Linked DNA regions of Astyanax mexicanus. The protein of the gene in region 1 interacts with the protein of each later gene in a pairwise test. Links are inferred from orthologs where the notes say so. Each region holds a gene or a part of one and is shown on either strand. Other genes may lie near its edges.

Region 1 (10,674 bases):
GCACCAGGTTCACATTAAATTAAAATGAATACATAAAGTTTTGTCCAACAGTGGTATATAGTAGCTACTGTAGGGTTGTAGCTTATTCTTTTTGGTCTGCCATGCATTAGAATTTGCCTATTTATTTCTACATAAACTGCTGTAAACCAGTGCATTCAGTCAGTCGGAGCTGAATTAATGTTGGAAGCACCAGTGTAGGAGATCCAGGGCCTCTGGGAGACTGGAAGATCAAAGCTGAAGAAAGAGCTGGACTGGAGCTGAGGCTGACTGCACCTGCTGCTTCCCTCTGGCCAAAGAAAACACATTATTCCACCAGTACAGCCACTTAATGGCCTCTGTGGTGACCCTGTGAACAGTGAGGCATGGCAAGACTGTCCCATTGACTGCTCCTTAGAGGGAAAAGAAGCTAGAAACACTAGCAGGCACACACACACACACACACACACACACACAGACTAAACTATTGCTTAACTGGCTTACTTACTGGATCTATAAGGATGGTTCACCTGAAGGTTCTATATATATCTTTAAAAGGTTGTTCACTCTAACTCATTACATTATGATCTTTACTGATGCAAAAAGGGTCAATATTTCCTACTTCAATTATGCATTTCAATTATTTATTTAGCTATTTTCATGAAAATATCAAGCAATTTAATCATCTCCAAGAACGTCCCCTTTAAGAAATCAGTGACAGCACAACCTTTACAGTGTTTTCCTTTCAAAGGACTGAAGACACTTACTGCATTATTTAGCAATTAATAATATAGATTTTACCTAATATTTCCCAAATATCTATACAACAGAACAATGTCACCATGAGCAGTTTTTGCTATTCTGTGCACTCTGAAATCTTATTAAATCAAATGTTTGTCACAAAGCAGGTTTACAGGACAGAGAATCAGACAAAACACTACAATACACTACAAAACATACAGGAGGAAGAAAATTTGGGAGGACCAAGACTCAAATGTAAGAGGGGACCATCCTACCACAGTCTAACAACCTTTTAATGAATTTTAGTCATTATACATCCACACAGGTCTAATATATTCAGTTTTATAACAGCACCAGCTATGAAAGCAGTTAGAGTTCATATAAATTTGGATGTGATCTGTAGTGGAGAGTCAGCAGCTAGTCCGAGGCATGTTGCAAGAACTGAATGCTGGGCAGCTAAACTGTGGTGGGTAATGGGAAGGCTGACTTTCAGAAACTTCTATCAGTCCGGCTGAACAGGGGACAGGAGAGCCTGAGGGTCTAACATCCATTGGTATCGGGCTGCACTGGTGGGCAGTCAAGAACTCGGAGGAAGCAGAAAGATGGAATTGGTTTTAACTGGATTAATGTAAAACAGAAAATATGAAACATTATCAGTGTGGCTAATGACTGGCTAATTTGATAATTTGTCAAAAAAAAAAAATATATATATATATATTACGTTTGTTTGTTTTTTTTCCCCCATTTTCTCCCCAATTTACACGGCCAATTACCCAACCCACTCACTAGGACTCCTCCTATCACTAGTAATGCCCCAACACACCTATTCTTTTCGAGCTGATGCAGTATTGCCGAGCAGCCGGCGCGCTTGAAGGAAAGCGCAGCGGCTCGGATCCGGTACATCAGCTCACAGACGCCCTGTGCTGCGGACATCACCCTGGGAGTGATGTGGGGAGAGAGCGCCATCTACCCACCTGGGGGGGAGCTGGACCATTCGGCACCCCTATTTTACGGTTTTTACACTATATTCTGATACTGGCTCTTCTTCCATGACATTACTCAAATAACCTTTTTAAGCAGCTTAACTTTTTACATTGTATGTGGGAACTCTTTAAACTTTAAAAAAGGTTCTTTACACATGAACATCTGAGAATGACCTTTAAAGAACCATTTTAGAACATGGCATTTCTTCATCACCTTCATTTTAAGAACTGTACACTTAGGGAAACATACCTTTAACAAACATACATCTCAATACATTACATTAAAATATACATACATTTGCTCAAACTGCCCCCTACCACACACACACAAACACACACTACTGAATGTACACCTGTTCCAGGCTGTGTACAGCAATACTCTCCATCTTTGAACCTGCAGTGTGCATTGAGGAGCCGTTATGGTTGGACAGCCATCAAAACGGAACAGAACAAATCATCTCTAAGAAAAACACTGTGCATCTGTTTGGAGACTTGGCCCCCTCAGTCTGGCGGAGTCCCACCGCCTTCAGCCAAGCAGGGTCATTTTCCATGAGAGTAGTAAGTGACAACATCTGTAATTTCTTTTCAAGGGGAAAATAAAAACAAACCTTGATGCACTGTAGGTCTGCTTAAGTGCCTTGCAACATGTTCAACCAGCATCAAAGAGAGGAGGAGCTCTACGTTTACCAAAACTTAATGTCAGTGGGCAGCTTTGACTTACTTAACCTGGATAAAACTGTTCACTTTTTTATGAGAAGCCTTTAGCCAGATGTTTTTTGGTTTACCTTCTTTAACAAAACAGTTTAGAACTCAACGAGCAGCTGGAAAAAACCTGGGTGCTTGTTTAATTGATTATTACTAAATTAACTGAAGTAAACATATTGTGAATACACCTGTACAGAACAGAGCACGAGGTCACAAGGCCTGGCTAAGTAGACACAGGTATCGAAACCCATAAAAATGTGTGAGCAACAGTGGTAGCTTAGGGAACATACAGTAAGTATCAAACTCATAACCCTGTAATGAATAACCTAGTGCTCTAACCTTTAAGGGTCCAACAGTGGCCGACTCTGTTATCAACATTAGCAGCTTTGCAGATGCAAGCATCAAATCCATAACTCTGTAATCAATAACCCAATTCTCTGACCACTAAGGTAGTTTAGATGACATAGATTTGAACCACATTACCACATTTGTGATCACCAGTGGCAGCTTAGGAGACATAGGTATTAAACTTATAACCCTGTGTTTAAAAGTGGCAGCTTAGAGGACAAATGTATCACATCCATTACCAAGTGATCAACGGTGGCAGCTTAACAGACACTTAAATCAAACCCACAATCCTGTATTCTATAGCCCAGGGCTCTAACCCCAAAGGCATCAACAGTGATCATTTAAGGAACATGGGTATCAAACCCTTAACTCTGCGCTTAAAAGGGGCAGCTTAAGAACATAGGTATCAAACCCATAACCATGAAGAGTGATAAACAGTGGCAGCTAAAGCACAAATGTATCAAACCAATTACCATGTGATTACCAGTGGCAGCTTAAAATATATAGGTATCAAACTTACAACCCTGTGTTTAACAGTGGCAGCTTAAAAGACAAAAGTATTACAACCATTACCATGTGGTCACCAGTGGCAGCTTAGAAGATATAGGTATCAATCTTACAACCCTGTGTTTAAAAGTGGCAGCTTAAAGGACAAAAGTATCACAATCATTACCATGTGATCAACAGTAGCATCTTAACAGACACTTGCATCAAACCCACAATCCTGTAATCTATAGCCCAGGGCTCTAACCCCAAAGGTATCAACAATGGTGGATTAAAGAACATGGGTATTAAACACATTTAATCAAAAGTGGAAGCTTAGGAACATAGGTATCAAACCCATATCCAAGAAACAGTGATAAACAGTGGCGGCAAAAGGACAAAGGTATCAACCCTTTACCACGTGAATCACCAATGGTAGCTTAACAGACACATATGAATCAAACCCACAACCCTGTGATCAATAACCCAGTGCTTATCAAAATATGCATTAAATAAATGCATTAAATATTCCATGGTTGGAAAATTAGGTCATATAAAGCTGATGTTTACTACATTTTGTTGTCTGCATAGTCCGCACAGCCTCCATTGCAATCTTTTGAGACCATACTTACAGACAGATAGATCTTCTTTCTGAAGAAGCTCCTTCACATCACTCAACTTTTCTTGCATTTGATGGACTTGTTTTGCTCTAATGACTCACATTCTGTGCCAGCAAGGGGTAGCCATCTTCCATGGCAGATTCCCTGACATGGACCCCTGTTGCCAAAGCTCTTGTAATTGTGAAGTGCTAATGGCTATAGTGAGTGAAACTGGGCATGTTTGTTGTAGCTGTAGAGCCAAAGCAAAATGTGGACATACTTAAGTACCTCAGAGTCTCAGAGCAGCAGAGGGGTTTTGAGTTTTATTCCTGATTCACACATATCTGACATGTTGATATTGGAGCAGAGAGTGAATCTGATCTGGAAGTGCTGAAGTAAAGGAGTGAAGTCACCAGCATTCAACAGCATGTGGTAGAAAAGCAAAAGAAGAGAGGTGGACACCAACATTGGTGCCTGAGGGCTGCCATACATACCCCTCTTTGAAGTATGGGCCTGTATGTGTTTAGACTTGCAATGTCTTTTCAAGACAAGTTTCTGCTAGTTAGAATTCAAACCTAAAAGAACATGAAAGCCAAATACAACATAAATATCCATGGCAAGAAACTATGGCTATGTCTAAGTTTGTTTCCATATCAGTTTGTTTTGTGAGTCACTTCCACTGGCCTAAAACTATTCCAAGTTATGGCAATGATGTCTTGATTTTTTGCATGTAAAACATATAAAACCTGTGGTAGGATTGTGGAAAAGAGTTTTAGCACCTCCTGAAATGTTAGATATCTTTTCTGAAAAACACATTTCTGAGTTTTACAATAATTACTTTTCCTGGTTGTCTTAAATCTTGTGTATCTATGAAGCCATCTTGAGGCTCAAATCCCATTAGTGTTGTTCCTTGTTTCACATTGGGTTTTTATTCTAAACAACCAGCAGCATACCAATCTAACAATTTTCTAAATGTTACAAACGTTAACATCCTTAGAGCATTCAGTCTGTCAAGTTTTCTTTATGTCCTTAGAACATATTTTCTATAACGTTACAGCCTAACCTTCTTGGAACTTTTCTAAATGTTGCTAAACATTCTTATAACATTCTATGTTAGCTGGAATACCTATTTCCAATTGTTTATTCATTCAGTTAGTGTTTAAACAATTAATTATATGGCCTTCTGCTTGGTGCCATATAAAAATATCTCAGAGGTTACTTTTGGGTAGTTTACCTCTTGGTGAAAGAATGTTGACTCCTAGACATGCCTCTACAATGCACTCCAAAACCTTTTTGCCAGTTGACAAACTTTGAGAATGGGCTCATTGTTGGACTAATAGAAACAGGTTTGTTGTTTTGACAAATTGCTCACCATCTAGGCCATTTGTCAGCCGGCCACTGTTGTTCTCGTGTATGCAAATACATGTAAACACATAAACAAGCAGATACTTTCATAAACTATTTCTGTATTCACCCTGTTAAAAACTTTAACTCAAGATCAGCTTTTGCTAGGAACTGAATGGTCCAAGCTGGTCTTTGACGTTAAGGTTGATGAAAAACTTTGGCACTGCTGTCCAGGCCGGTCTTGATGATCATGCTGGTCAACCAGCTTGGTGACACTGGACATTTAACCTGGTGAAGCTGGTGACCTAACTTGGTGAAGCTGGTAATGCTGGTTTATCAGCTTGGACTGGCCAGGGTTATTTTTATCACAGCAGTGCACTTTTACACAATTAAACAAATGTGTAATTTAATTCATATAATCTATATACAGTAACAGACAAACCTTTGGACATACCTTCTTATTCAATGTTCCTTCTTTCTTTATTATTTTAATTTATTTTTGGGGACACATATGGAACTAAGCAGTAAATTAAAAAGTGTTTGTTCTCCACAATCTACTGATCAAATCTGATCAATTGAGATGGAGCTTCATAGCCCGAAGTGATAGCAGCAACAATATTGTTCAGCACCTCCAGGAACTCCTTCAAGGCTGTGAAAACTGTTCCAGGTGACTCCTCCTCTTGAAGACACTGGTACTTAGAAGAATATAAAAACATCACATGTGCTCTGGTATAGTTTTAATATCTTCAGTATTAATTTTACTATGTAAAACATCACGAAAAGAAAAAAAACACATTGGAATAGAAGACGTTTGTCTAACATTTTGACTGGCACTGTACATGTTTGAAACTTGAAACTTGAAAAATAATAAAGAAAATAGTTTTTTCACAGCTTCTGTGACTTTTAAAAAGTTGTAAAATGCTGTAAAAAGTAAGAGGTGATCCCACGTATGAGACAGTGCCAGCAAGCTTCCTGAACAACACCACAGACCTCCAACTCATACCCAGCAGGTCTCGATGTGATCCAGGACCATCCCTGCAGCTGCAGATCTGCTGTAGTAGAGGTTTTTATAGCTTTAGCAGAGAGTGAGCGCCTCTGCTCCAGCTCGACGGAATCATGGCCACCTCAGCTCTGAAGATGCCCCGGGTTTTAATCAGTAGTATTTATTGTGTATTACTGTTCGGTACGATACTGTGCGATAATGAGACGGAGGAGGACGAGCACGCGAAGCACACGTACACTGTGGAGATGTTTAACGACGCGATTCCGACAGCTCCACACTTCGTGATGTTCTTCGCTCCGTGGTAAAGTTAACTACAGAGATCTTCTACTACTGCAGCCGGGTTCTGCTTAGCTCCAGCCGGCTTTACAGCTGCAGAGACTGGCTTTAGCTCAGCCGCCGTAATTATCAAAAGGGCAACAGTGTGCGTATTCGAGTTTAACGTTGTATTTCTGATTCAATTTCACGTTAAAATGAGTTTAGCGTGTTTACAAACGTCTAACAGAAGAGTTATGTTAGCCAGCTAGCTAGCTTAGCTAAAGTGCCTAGCAACTACTTTCCATGCTAAGATAGCGTTATGTAGCTAGCTAGCCAGCTAGCTAGCTAACTAACTAGCTTAGCTAATCCTCAATGGCAAAGTACCTACCTACCTATCTGTCTATATAAGTATCAGTATGTCTGTCTATGGCACAATATCTATCTATCTATCTATCTATCTATCTATCTATCTATCTATCTATCTATCTATCTATCTATCTATATAATGTATCTATCTATATAATGTATCTATCTATATAATGTATCTATCTATCAATCTAGCTATATAATGTATTTATCTATCTATATAATGTATCTATCTCTGTCTATATAATGTATCTATCTCTATCTATGCAATGTATCTATCTCTATCTATATAATGTATCTATCTCTATCTATATAATGTATCTATCTCTATCTATATAATGTATCTATCTCTATCTATATAATGTATCTATCTCTATCTATATAATGTATCTATCTCTATCTATATAATGTATCTATATATCTCTATCTATCTATCTATCTCTATCTATCTATCTATCTATATCATTTATCTAACTATTTAAGTTATATAACTATATGTATGTCTGTCTGTCTGTTTATGTATATGTCTGTCACTGTGTAACAGATAGATAGATAGATAGATAACACAGATAGATAGATAACAGATAGATAACAGAGATAGATAGATAGATAGGTTAGATAGATAGGTTAGATTGATGGTGAGATGGTGAGATTAGATTGATGGTGACTGATTATATAGATTATTGATAAAAAAAACTCATGTTCTGTACAATGAGGTGTACAAGTGGGTTATACATTTAAAATGTGTTTGTGCAAGAATACGTGAAGAAATATGTATATTTATATTGTTTATATCCTTACGTTCATGTTGTAATTTTTATTGTTATTTGTTACCTTGTGCAGTTAGTCAACTTGTATTACATTAATCATGAAGAGGCAGTGGTTCTCTTATATCTTGCCCTGGAAACGTCGCATGTTTTGGGACACCTGATTTAATTGATCCAGCTTGTGATTAAAAGTCAAACTTTAACATTTAACGTTACCGTTACTATCTGCATCCACAAGGACTCTCAAGGTTCCAAAATGATAGTTCATGCCATAGAGGGCTAACGGATTGTGTGCAGCTAAGCTAAGCTAGGTTAGCTAAACTGAAAAAGTGTTCAGGCTGTGCTTTATGGGCTTTTTCGAGAGCTCTTATAATCCTTCTGTTTAAACGTTAGCCTTTAAACCATATAAACTGTTAGCATATCCACGTTAGCAGGAAGGGTAAACTCAAAAACTGCAGTTGTAACGTTAGCTAGCAGATGAGCTATCCTAGCCAGCTAGCACTCCAAGCCGGCTAAGCCAAGGAGTTCACAGTTCATTCAGTATGAGAAGTTTCAGTACACGTGGCAAGAAGCAGTAAAAATAAGAAATAAAATAAAAGACCTACCAAAACACTTCATACTGATCCAAACATGGCACAAATATGTGTTTTTAAATACAGAGCAGAAACCCAAGAAAAAAAGTACCTAAAACGTATCACTAGTTACTTGAGCTGAAGGAGAGATAAAAGGGAAAAAACTGTCCTCCAGGTACAAGAATGAATTTCGATTACAATTTAATTTCTTGTTTTATTTGTAAACACACAGCACAATTTTATATGATGTGCAAGCTGTTATTTTCTTTACATTTAATGTACCTTTTTTTTAAAGAATAGTTAGCAGTAAACCATACATGCAGATTTATATTAAACAAATATAACGTCCTTGTATTTCAGTTAAGAAAAAAAGTGTAAACCATGTAAATCACTGCCTCATAAAATAGTTCTTTACAGGTTCCTGATAGAAGCAAATGTCCATCTACTCCATCTGAAGCTTCTATATGTAATGGTGTTAAATCTTAATTATGCCAATTTGAAAATCGCATTAAAACAGTAACTCGATTAACCTTCCAGCCCTAGCTTATATTAAGCAAATTTTTCTTAGTAATATTTAGACACGAAAAAAAAAAAATTGGACACGAATTACAAAATAACTTTGGTGGTGATTTTTGTTATTTCATGTTCAAATTTCTTAAAATTCTAAGGAAGACTGATTTAAAATCATTATTCCATAAATAATCTAAACAATTTTACACTTGCTTACACAATAAGTAAGACAAAAAAATGAAGAAAATAAGATTAGCCTTGAAGATTTTTTTGCAGTGTATTAAAAGTAGAAGGACAAAGTTTTGAAAGTAAAATAAATGTTATTTTGTAAGGCTCTTATGTTCTAATATAATTTCTCTAAGAAAGTCTCTTGCTTAAATAAGTTATTATAATTATTTTTTTGCTTAAGTGTGGACACAAGTATCAAAATAACAATATTGATATATTTGACTCAGATGTAGTGGAGTAAATCCTAAGCTGAAATTTTAAAGTGAAGCACAAATGGATAAAGCACAGGTGAAACAGCTTAGGTACAATTAATTGCATTTACTAAAGGTACATTAAAAGTCTAGTATAAGGTCTCAAATAAAAACCCTTCCAATAAACACTGTTTATTTAGCATAAAAACGCATGCCCCCAGGAGGTTTTAACATTGTATTCTGTGCTTTGTCTTGTACAGGTGTGGTCATTGCCAGAGGCTACAGGGAACATGGAATGAGCTGGCAGACAAATACAACAGTATGGAGACTCCTCCCATCTATGTTGTAAAAGTAGATTGCACTAAGGACACCAAGTTTTGCTCCAGTGACCATGGGATCCGTGGATATCCTACGTAAGGTTTACCAATTTTATGTAGCTGTTGAGACCTCTATAAAACTATAATAGATTATAATGGTAATACATTATTGAGGTACTGTAATATTAACTAGCAGACTAGCTAGGTGAGCAGTGATGTCCACAGTTTATACACACGACACGTCACACGTTGACTGTGGAAGGCCAAAGTCTCACTCTTGTTGTGTTACTCCCTGAGCGATGTTTAACTCCTGTTAAAGACGTCACTAGTTTGAATACTCACATTTATTGCAGCTTGTTGTGCATTCCCAATGCTTACCTTAAAAATGCACTTTATAGGAAACTTCTTAATTCTAAGTAGAAAAGTGTAAAAAGATTTAAAAAAAAATTTAACCATTTCTGCTGCCCCATTCAACATGAAAGTTTGAGACAATGTTAAGAACAACCTCCTGATTTTAAGTTTTGTCAAGAAATCAAAACCTAGTATCTCCATTTTTGCAAGTTTTGACCTGACAGCGAAATAGGACGGAGGGAAATAGGAAAGAGTTGTAAAGTTGTTCTTGCAAATGTTCTATTATATAAATGCCCTGCAAAATTCACTGTTGGCCAAATTCCACATTTTTTGTTTGTTTATTTATTTTTAATTATAATATAGAGAACATTAGCTGCTGTGGCTAATCAAACGGATAAAAGTTTAATGGACATTTCTGGTATAAATCATGCATCTATGTTTCTAAAACTCATCTATTTCTTCTAGATGTTTGGCAGACTTCTTCAAATTCTGAGGGTAGTTGTAGGGTCACAATTAAGATTTAATTTAGGATAAAGATCTTGGGGTTTTGTCTAATCAGTATAGGCTCAGTTTCATCTTTATCTACATTCCTAAAATGCTAAAAAGCTTAGGCTAGATTTGCTAAACTCAGAACTCTGAGTCCCTGTTAAAAACTTTGGAGCCTTTTGAATGCTCAGGGTTAACATAGGCCACGCTGGTCATTAAAGACTGTAACTGTGCAATAAGATTTGCTAAAATTATTTTATTCTTATTAACTAATAAGGAATTATTTCATTCTCAGTTAAAAACATGTTTCAAGCTTTTACATGAATGTGTTTGTGTTTGTTTATGTAGTCTGAAGCTGTTTAAACCTGAGCAGGAGGCAGTGAAATATCAGGGTTCAAGGGACCTGCAGTCACTGGAGACCTGGATGCTGAAAACTCTACAGGAGGAGC
Region 2 (9,650 bases), on another chromosome or scaffold:
GGTGGTTGCCATTGGGTTGCTAGGCTGTTTCCATGTGGTAATTTGGGCAAATTTCTTTTTTTTGCTAGGTGGTAACTATGCAGTTTATGGGCTATTGCTACATGGATACTAAGTTTAAAATGTTTTACAAGGTGGTTGTTATGTATACCAGATGGTTGCTATGCTGTTGCTAGGCTAGTTGCTAGGCTGTTACTACATGGTCCCTAGGGCAAAAATGTTTTTTTGTTGTTGCAAGGGGCTTGCAATGTATAGCAGGTGGTTGCTGTGAGGTTGCTAAATAGTTGCTATGTGGTTGCGACTGGGTGGTTGCTATGTGCTATGGTGTACCAGGTGGTTGCTAAGTTGTTGCTAGTTTGTTGCTAGGCTGTTGCTATGAAGAGATTTGGGTGAAACTATTTTTGTATAACAGGAGGTTGCTAGGCTGTTATTATGTGGTTACCAAGGTAAAACTGATTTTACTAGGTGGTTGCTATGGGGTTGCTGGGCTAGTTGCAAGGCTGTTAATACATGGCCTCTAGGGTGAAAATAGTTTAATAAGGAGCTTGCAATGTATGCCAGGTGGCTGCTATGAGGTTGCTAAGTAGTTGCTTTGTGGTTGCCATGTGATGTGGCATACCAGCTGGTTGCTAAGTTGTTGCTATGTGGTTAACAGGGTGGAAGATTTATTAGGTGGCTGCCATGGTATACCTGGTGGTTGCGGTTGCTATGGGGTAGCTGTAAAAATACTCACTATGGTGAAACTGTTTTTGTTAGGTGGCTGCTATGGTGTGCCATTTAGTTGCTATGGAGTTGCTAGGTAGTTTTTTAGGCTGTTGCTGTTTGGTGATTTGGTTGAAACTATACTTTTGCTAGACTGTAGCTATAGTGTAAAATAATATGGGGTTGCTAGGACGTTACTATGCGGTTACCAGGGTTAAAACTTCCATGGTATAACAGGTGGTTGCTATGGGGTTAATAGGGAGATGCAAAGTATTTACACTCAAATTCCGGTTAAAAAAGGCTGTATATACTTAAATAGACGTAAAGCAGTATAATAAAAATGTCAAAATCAATGAAATTAGTTACAGTAGAAGCTGCTTACTTAAAAACAAGCACCACAGTGACCTACAGAACCAGTACCGACCTTCACTAAAGCCTCCACCTGATGGAGGAGGATGGGTTTATTGCAGAACTCCACCAGGGGCTTGGGCACGCTCAGGGTGAGGGGTCTTAATCTGGTGCCGTAGCCCCCGACCAGAATCAGAGCTTTCATTGTGGGAGGAGAAACGAGGCGTCAGAAGTGGGAGGACTTGGGCAGGAAGCACAGGAGCATCAGGTAGGACGAGCTTCCAGCTTCACCTGCGACACAGTGAAGGAGGAGGAGCTCAGAACTGGGCTGGATGACACACTTTGTCTATTGTCTATTGTTGTATATAATAAGTGATCTTCCTGACAGATGATAGTATGAGTGTCAGGCCTTCGTATAATCTATAATGTACTTACAGGGGTTGGACAATGAAACTGAAACACCTGTCATCATTTTAGTGTGGGATTTTAGGTTTCATGGCTAAATTGGAGCAGCCTAGTGTTCAATCTTCATTAATTGCACATTATTGCACCAGTAAGAGCAGTAAGAGTGTGAAGGTTCAATTAGCAGGGTAAGAGCACAGTTCTGCGCAAAATATTGCAATGCACACATTAAAACATTATGTGAGACATACCAGAGTTCAAAAGAGGACAAATTGTTGGTGCACGTCTTGCTGGAGCATCTGTGACCAAAACAGCAAGTCTTTGTGATGCAGCATCAAGAGCCACGGTATCCAGGGTAATGTCAGCATACCACCAAGAAGGACCAACCACATCCAACAGGATTAACTGTGGACGCTGTAAGAGGATGCTGTCTGAAAGGGATGTTCGGGTGCTAACCCGGATTGTAACCAAAAAACATAAAACCACGGCTGATCAAATCACGCAGAATTCAATGTGCACCTCAACTCTCCTGTTTCCACCAGAACTGTCCGTCACCACAATCAATTACTGTGCTCTAAAACCAGGTGTTTCAGTTTCATTGTCCAAGCCCTGTATGTTTATATACTGTATTTATGAGTAAAGGCCCAATGCCCAATGATTTCATATTAGGGCCATATCGCCCACCCCTTTCTAACACCCACACAAATAATCTGGCATGGTGATGAATATTGAATATAAGCAGGAGGAGCTTTTGAACAGCTTTAGAGGCAGACACACCCAAAACACACCCTACATATCCTAGTGACTGTTTGTCAGTGGTAAAATGGAGACGTGATGCAAGAAATATGTAAACTATTCCACTGGAAAACGATTAGCCTACGTCATTATACGGCCTCTGTTCCAGTGTCGCCAAACTGGATCAGAAGTGCCTGGCCAGGTCAAACTTGTCAAACTACAACTATACTGTTAAAAGTATGAAATCTTCATACTGAAACTGTGAAGGAACCTAATGAAGATTCTTCAGTGTTCCTTAAGGCGCTTTAAAGCCCTATCCTATTCTACTCAGTGCTAAAACTTTTACATCCAGACTGCAATTGAAAAAACAGGAGGATCAGTGAGTTTTTTTTAGGCTTTTTTTTTTTAGGAGTTCAGTAGCTCCTCCATTTCCACTCGCTGTTGTGTTTACAGTAAGTGGATCTCCATGGAAACGAGAGCCCAAAGTATAATTAAATTGCATGGCAGTGGACAAATAGCTATTTTATTAAATGTGAGGAGACGAAACTCAGAGATGTGCGTCTGGACGGAACTAATATTACCGGAGGACCACGGAGTTCAGAGAAAAACAGTAGATAATTCAGCCTGTAATTTTCTCAGAAGACAGAGAAAAACACGTACATGATCGTTCCGGACAGGAATACAATTACAGAGGATAAAAAAGCCCCCCATAAAAGAGAAAATTAAATCAGAACCCCCTGAGAAACGAATCCCATCGTCCAAAAAGAGCTTAAGAGTTTCCTTCAAACTTTTAAAGTGAAGAAAACTTTGAATTCACTATTTTGACATCTACAAAAAAACTGAGTTATTTGAGTTTGATGGTTTAGGTGGTCAACCTGGATGTCCACATTGATCTTGGTATTGTCAAACAACATGAACACCCTGCCATAATTATTTATCATGCTCACTGACCAGTTTGTTGTCCAGTTTGTCCAGAAACAGCTTGACCAAACTAGTTAACAAGCATGACTAGGTTAGTGACCAGCATTTTCAAGTTGGTTATGATGGTAGACTTGCTAATCTTGCTAAACCTGGCCATTACAGATCAGCTTAGACCACTCAAAACCAGGTTTCATGTTGCTAAGTTTCCGTCGGGATCAATAAAGTATCTATTTATCAGCAGAAGCTTGGAGCTGTTGTTGATCTGGAGTGGCCTGAAGGGTGTAGAGAAGCACAGGAATAGGAATTTATATCTTAATATCATGTTACATGTTACACTGTACAAAGGTGAAATCAGAAAGCCAGGCCTTAGCGTATAAACACAATATATATTCCATTATATTTACAATAAAAGGGATGCATGATGATCTCAGAATGATATTGGTATCGGCTGATAATTATTATTATTCTTTTTTTAGAATCATCGCCATCTGCCTATGTGTAGCTATTTTTAAACCAATACTTGCTGATGTATTTATTGTATGCTGGAAAAAGAAAATAATGGTATTATTATTACTATTAAAAACCCATATACTGTACCAGTCAAAAGTTTGGACCTCTTCTTAATCAGTGTGTTTTCTTTCTTTTTATGATTTTTTTCATCTTTTAATTAATATTAAAGATAATAATAATAATATTAAACAAAAAGTGTTAAACAAATTAGAATATACAGGATTGTAGAGAACTTTTTTTTTTACTATTTCCTACATAATTATGTTTAGTACATAATAGTTTTATGTGTTTATATTATATATTATATATTATATTAAACTATAAGCCAAATAAAATGAAGAAATAAAGAAAAACATTGATTGAGAAGGTGTGTCCAAACTTTAGACTGGTACTGTGTATACACTGTAGGTTATATATATATGCGTATGTATATACACACACATACACACTGTAGTCATTACAACTCATTAGCTAGTTAGCTAAGCTAAGCTATATAGTTAGCTGGCTAAGTTTAAACAAGTGTTTTAGACACATTTCTGTTTTTAAGAATATAGTAAATAATGTCTGAACTGAGCTGAACTGATGTTATTACTTTATATATATAATATTAATTAAGCTATAATAATAATAATTATTATTATTATAACGTTAATTATGATTATGGCATCATAACTTTATTATTAGCTAACCTAGCTAACAGCTATCAACTACACTGGTACACCTAACAACACAAACTCCCTTAAACAGTCAAACTACACAGTAAAGCGCAGTTATTACAATATTACAGTTATTACAGTACAGCTGATATTTATCTCAGTTATTAATATAAAACTATATCCAGGGAAAAGCTCTTACCACTGTGCTGCTGCTGCTGCTGCTGCTGCTGGACCTGTAGATTCGGTTCTGCTGAAATTCGGATCAGCTGGTTTAGATCAGAGTGAGGATCTGAATCAGTGCTGAGAGGAATAATTCAGATTATTAAAGAGTTCAGATTCTACACGAACTCTATAAAACTACTGACTTCATTCATTTAAACACCATCAGCGGCTCAGCTCCTCACTGCTGACAACACTACTGACCCGGACCAGGGGGCGGGGCCTCGACTGCTACGTACTGGGTCGACGGTCAGCGGAGCGTACCATTTATTACAAAGGGGATTGCACACATACTCATACTGAACCTACTGAAATTTTATTTGAGTTCCTTAAAAAATAATGGTGTATTTTTTTAACGTAAAAAAAATGGTGAGCACCAGATACTAAGTGGTGAGCACCACATCCTATAATAATAATAATAATAATAATAATAATAATAAAGGTTATTAAAGGTATTATTAGAGCTAGTATATCATCATCATATTATATTACAATTAGTTATGCCTCTGTGTTTAAAACATAAACTATATAAAAAGAATGATATTAATAATAAGGAGAAATCATATGTCTTTTATGTCTGCATAATTGTGCTGTATTTACAATAAATGCATTATAGTAAATAACATTTGTGAATTACAACTAAATGACAGTCAGTTTTAGTGGTGTTTAGCAAAAAAAAAAAAAAAGCAAAAAACTACTTGGAATAAAAAAGGGGAAATTATATATTATTTTTGTCTACTTTAAAAACGTGAATAATTTTTAGATAAAGATAACAGCAACACCTCCCAGAAGCCACAAAATATGTTGATGTATTTAAACAGTAACGGAATCGCAGTCCGCTTTGCTGCTGCTGCCGCTGTATTAATGATGGATCCCCCTCCGCCTGCAGTAAAGTGGTATGACCCGCAGTGTATGATTTGGCCGCGCCCCATTCGTCCTCCTCGCAGCCAATCAGTGAAGAACAGCGTGGCGCGGAAGCAGAAACGCCGCTGTCAAAACAAAAGCGACCAAAACAAACCGATTCATAAAAATTAAATACAGAGAAATTAAATACAGAGATTTTAAATGCATAAAAAATAAATACAGAGATTTTAAATACAGATAAATTAAATAAAGATAAATTAAATACAGATAAATTAAATGCAGAGATTTTAAATAAAGAGATTTTAATGTGGGGAACTAAAGTTCAGCTTTCTCTGCTCCCATAAATGGAGTCACACTTTTAGCAAAATACCACATTATTTACTGCAGTAAATGGAGGGGTAATAAACTCATTTTTCTCTGCTTTAAGAAAAAATTTAAATAAACAGGCCAAATGATAATAAATAGTAGGGTTAAACAGTTTCTGGTCATGTTGTTATCAATGGCTGAGGCAACTGTCTATTTCTAAATACACCAATAATTCAATTAAATACACTCACCAGAGTTTACTTATACTCCAGCAGGATTAAAAAGCTCTGCTTATAATATTTTAACCAGCAAATAAGTAAAACCAGAGTGAAATTTCCAATTAGTGTAAAATTAAAATAAAAATTAAAACACAGTAAGCTTTATTTTATTATTGATGTGAGCTCTTCATTAGCAGATATATCAGACTCAACTAATATGGGAAGGCTTTCCACAAGGTTTAGGAGTGTTTATTAAATATATTATTATATATTATATTATTGAAAAACAGTAATCAAGCCATGTTTTCACACTAATCTAACAAAAAACTTTTTTTTTCATAATACTATCTTTTATTCAAAGACAATTTGCCAATTATTAAATTACTTTGGTACATAGATATTTATATATTTTCTTGTAATTGAAAAAGGGTTATAATTGTATTTATAAAATATAATTTTGTAATGGTAAACTTTCATAATTACAGGAAGTTCTGTAATAAATATGGGTTTCTTTTAATTGTCAGTTATTTATTTATTCATTTATTTAGGCATCAGCAGATAAACACTTAAAACAATAAAAAGTATCAGAAACATGAATCAGCCCACGGTTTCAATCATATCAGAGCATCCTTAATTTTTTTTTTTTGTTGGTGCTGCTTTCAGTAAAAGTATGGTAAAAGCATTTAAACAGGAATAAAATGACGCAAGACAACAGTTTTCTTAAATAAATGTTTTTTAATAACACATTCAAAGATGTCATATATTTTCCTTAAAAAAATATCCATCCATGCAACAACAACAAAAGGGGAAATAAAGAAACTTTTTGGGTGATAGATTTTTCTCTACAGGTTCTACCTCACATCTATGGAAAGACCAGGAACATCCGCCACAGACGAGGCCACGTCAACTTCATCCCAGTCCCTTAAACAGACACAAGAGGCTGCAGATTCCCTTTTTCGCTTTTAGTAACATTAGCTTCTTTGACCAAGCTTTTCCTCTTAGACAAAACTCACAAAACACTTCAGACTGGGACAGTCAACGGTGCCAATAGTAAGCAAATCTAGTTTTGCACATTCTACATTTTGCCGTCCCACTGTGAAGTGCTTATGTGAACACTGACCCATTTTTTCTGTCCGATATCTGAAAAATATGTATTATTGTAAGAACATACACAGCAATATGGACTTTTTGCAAAGTCATTTACTTTATACATGTAAAACATACGTTTTTTAAGGGTTATGATCTACTAATGTACTGCGATACATTATCCCCTCAAATTTTACATTGTTTGACTGACTGAATCTGAGCAGAAAGTAGAGCTCTATATACCTTTAAGAACAAATATATATAATTTATTATATATACATTTCTATAAATTACTAAAGATTATTTATAATTAAAAAATTGTCTCCCAATTTAGCCTAAAATTTTGACTAGCATTTTGACTAGCAAACGACACATGTGAAGAGTAGCATCACAGCGCTAACGCTCGGAGGAAAGCGCAGCGACTCGGTTCTGATACATCAGCTCACAGACGCAGCCTTTTGCTGATCCACGTCACCCTAGGAGTGATGAGGGGAAAGAGAAAGCTCCATCTACTGTACTGTACCCACCAAGAGAGAGCAAGGCCAATTGTGCTCTCTCGGGGCTGCGACAGCAGATGGCAAGCTGCATGCCCAGGATTCGAACCAGCAATCTCCCGATCATAGTGGCAGCGCTTTAAACCACTAGGCCACTTTGTGCATCCCAATCCTGCTACGTGACTTAGAGACCTGACCCAAGTACATGTTGACTTATATTTATACACATATAAAGTAAATGACCTTGTATTTATATCTATCTTTCAAAGCATCCAAGCATACATTTCCATTTCAGTGTCCATATTCTCTTAATATTATAATTTTATGGCTGAAAAAGTGAAGAGACTAAAACAAAAACCCCACATTTCTTGCAAGGCTCCGTTTGTCTTTGGTGGAGCAAATAGAAATGACACATCATTGACCAATGACGTTCCTTTTTGGAAATATAATAGGACAGTTAATCTAATCTATAATCTAGACACATTAATATGGCTGATGGCCCCTCAGTCAGTGACTTATATTATATAATATAATACAAATATTACCAGGAGAGGTATCTCTATAGTAACTGGGGGAGTGGAGTAAAGGTGGAGGTCGGGTCGGGTTTGGTTGTGTACACAATATAACAACAATACTACACTGGTAATACCAATACAGTATATGCATGTATTAATATGCATTTCAATACAAAAATACGACCCGCCGGGGCCTGTGATGTGCCAGAGAGGGGGAGAGAAAAAAAAAACATAAAAATAAATAAAAAATTATTATTCCATCAATAATTGTCATCAAAAAGGGTAATGGCTACAGTGCAACTGTTCCACCTACACAGAGAACACCCTAACCACGGTGAAACTACGAGGAGACGAGGCTCCGCCCACGGTGACGGCAAGGGGACACGACGAGCTAAACGGTGAGGAAAGGTGGCGTTAGGATTTTTTCTTTAGTCTTCTTTAGTCTTTTCTTTATAAAGCTCTGGAAAAAATAAGAGAACCCTTAAAAATGATGAGTTTCTTTGATTTTACCAAATGAAAACCTCTGGAATATACTCAAGAGGAAGATGGATGATCACAAGCCTGAATTTTTGCACCAGGAGTAAAGGCACAAAGTTATCCAAAAGCAGTGTGTAAGACTGGTGGAGGAGAATATGATGCGATGAGATTTTAAAACCAGGGTTATTGCAGCAAATATTGATTTCTGAACTCTTAAAACTGCATGAATATGAACTTGTTTTCTTTGCATTATTTGAGGTCTGAAAGCTCTGCATCTTTTTTGTTTTTTATTTCAGACTTTTCTCATTTTCTGTAAATAAATGCTCTAAATGAGAATATTTTTATTTAGAATTTGGGAGAAATGTTGTCTGTAGTTTATAGAATAAAACAACAATGTTCATTTTACTCAAACATAAACCTATAAATAGCAAAATCAGAGAAACTGATTCAGAAACTGAAGTGACCTCTTATTTTTTTCCAGAGCTGTATATATGTATAAATATATATATATATATATATTATGTATATAAATATTTTTTCATGTATATAAATTGCATTGCTACATGTGCTGATGGAGGTGGATAAAGGATCACTGTGACGTAAAGTCAGTGTGGATTATTTCTGATGTTCTCAAGAATGAAAAGCTCTTGAGGGAAAGAAATGATGGGAAAACCATGCTGTCGGATGCGTTCCAAACATAGTCTACAGTGCAAAAGATAGGATGGTTAACTTTCAGCATAACCATATTTGACAGACTTTGAAACATCAACACAACAGTGATTATAATAATAATAATAATAATAATAATAATAATAATAATAATAATAATAATAATAATGATGAGGGTGACAAACATATGGATAAACATACTATACTGTCCCATTGACATGCCTAGGACTGTCAGTACTACCATAAACCAAAGAGGGACACTTTTATAATAATTATTATTATTACAAAAAAAGAAAAGAAAAGAGAAAAACCAAAAAAATAAGTGTAAAAAGCTATAAAAAAAAAAGAAAAAGCTAAAACACAATGTTGGCTCTAACTGAAGTGAATAAGTAAATAAAAGGGCTACAGAAACAGCAACATCATTTAAAAAAAAAAACTGAAACAAACAAACAGGCAAAATTAAAAAAAAAAAAAAGCATAAAAGCATGTGACCTCAAATGTGATAATTTTTTTTTTTTATCACACAGTCTC

What was found. The genes of interacting proteins can lie anywhere in the genome.
Region 2: the proteins of txndc5 (region 1) and gmppb interact in a two-hybrid assay, tested with the Homo sapiens proteins (2 studies listed by BioGRID and IntAct). The two-hybrid records come from large-scale screens. The link is inferred for Astyanax mexicanus from reciprocal best matches to the Homo sapiens genes TXNDC5 and GMPPB.

The regions. Positions count from the first base shown.
Region 1 is NC_064408.1:107,746,024-107,756,697, forward strand, and holds the start of txndc5 (thioredoxin domain-containing protein 5), read left to right. Parts: upstream 1-6,253; 5' UTR 6,254-6,295; coding exon 6,296-6,483; intron 6,484-9,331; coding exon 9,332-9,484; intron 9,485-10,573; coding exon 10,574-10,674. UniProt on the Homo sapiens protein: Protein disulfide isomerase of the endoplasmic reticulum lumen involved in the formation of disulfide bonds in proteins. Can reduce insulin disulfide bonds.
Region 2 is NC_064431.1:3,041,019-3,050,668, forward strand, and holds the start of gmppb (mannose-1-phosphate guanyltransferase beta), read right to left. Parts: upstream 4,705-9,650; 5' UTR 4,471-4,704; intron 1,339-4,470; 5' UTR 1,253-1,338; coding exon 1,124-1,252; intron 1-1,123. UniProt on the Homo sapiens protein: Catalytic subunit of the GMPPA-GMPPB mannose-1-phosphate guanylyltransferase complex. Catalyzes the formation of GDP-mannose, an essential precursor of glycan moieties of glycoproteins and glycolipids. Can catalyze the reverse reaction in vitro.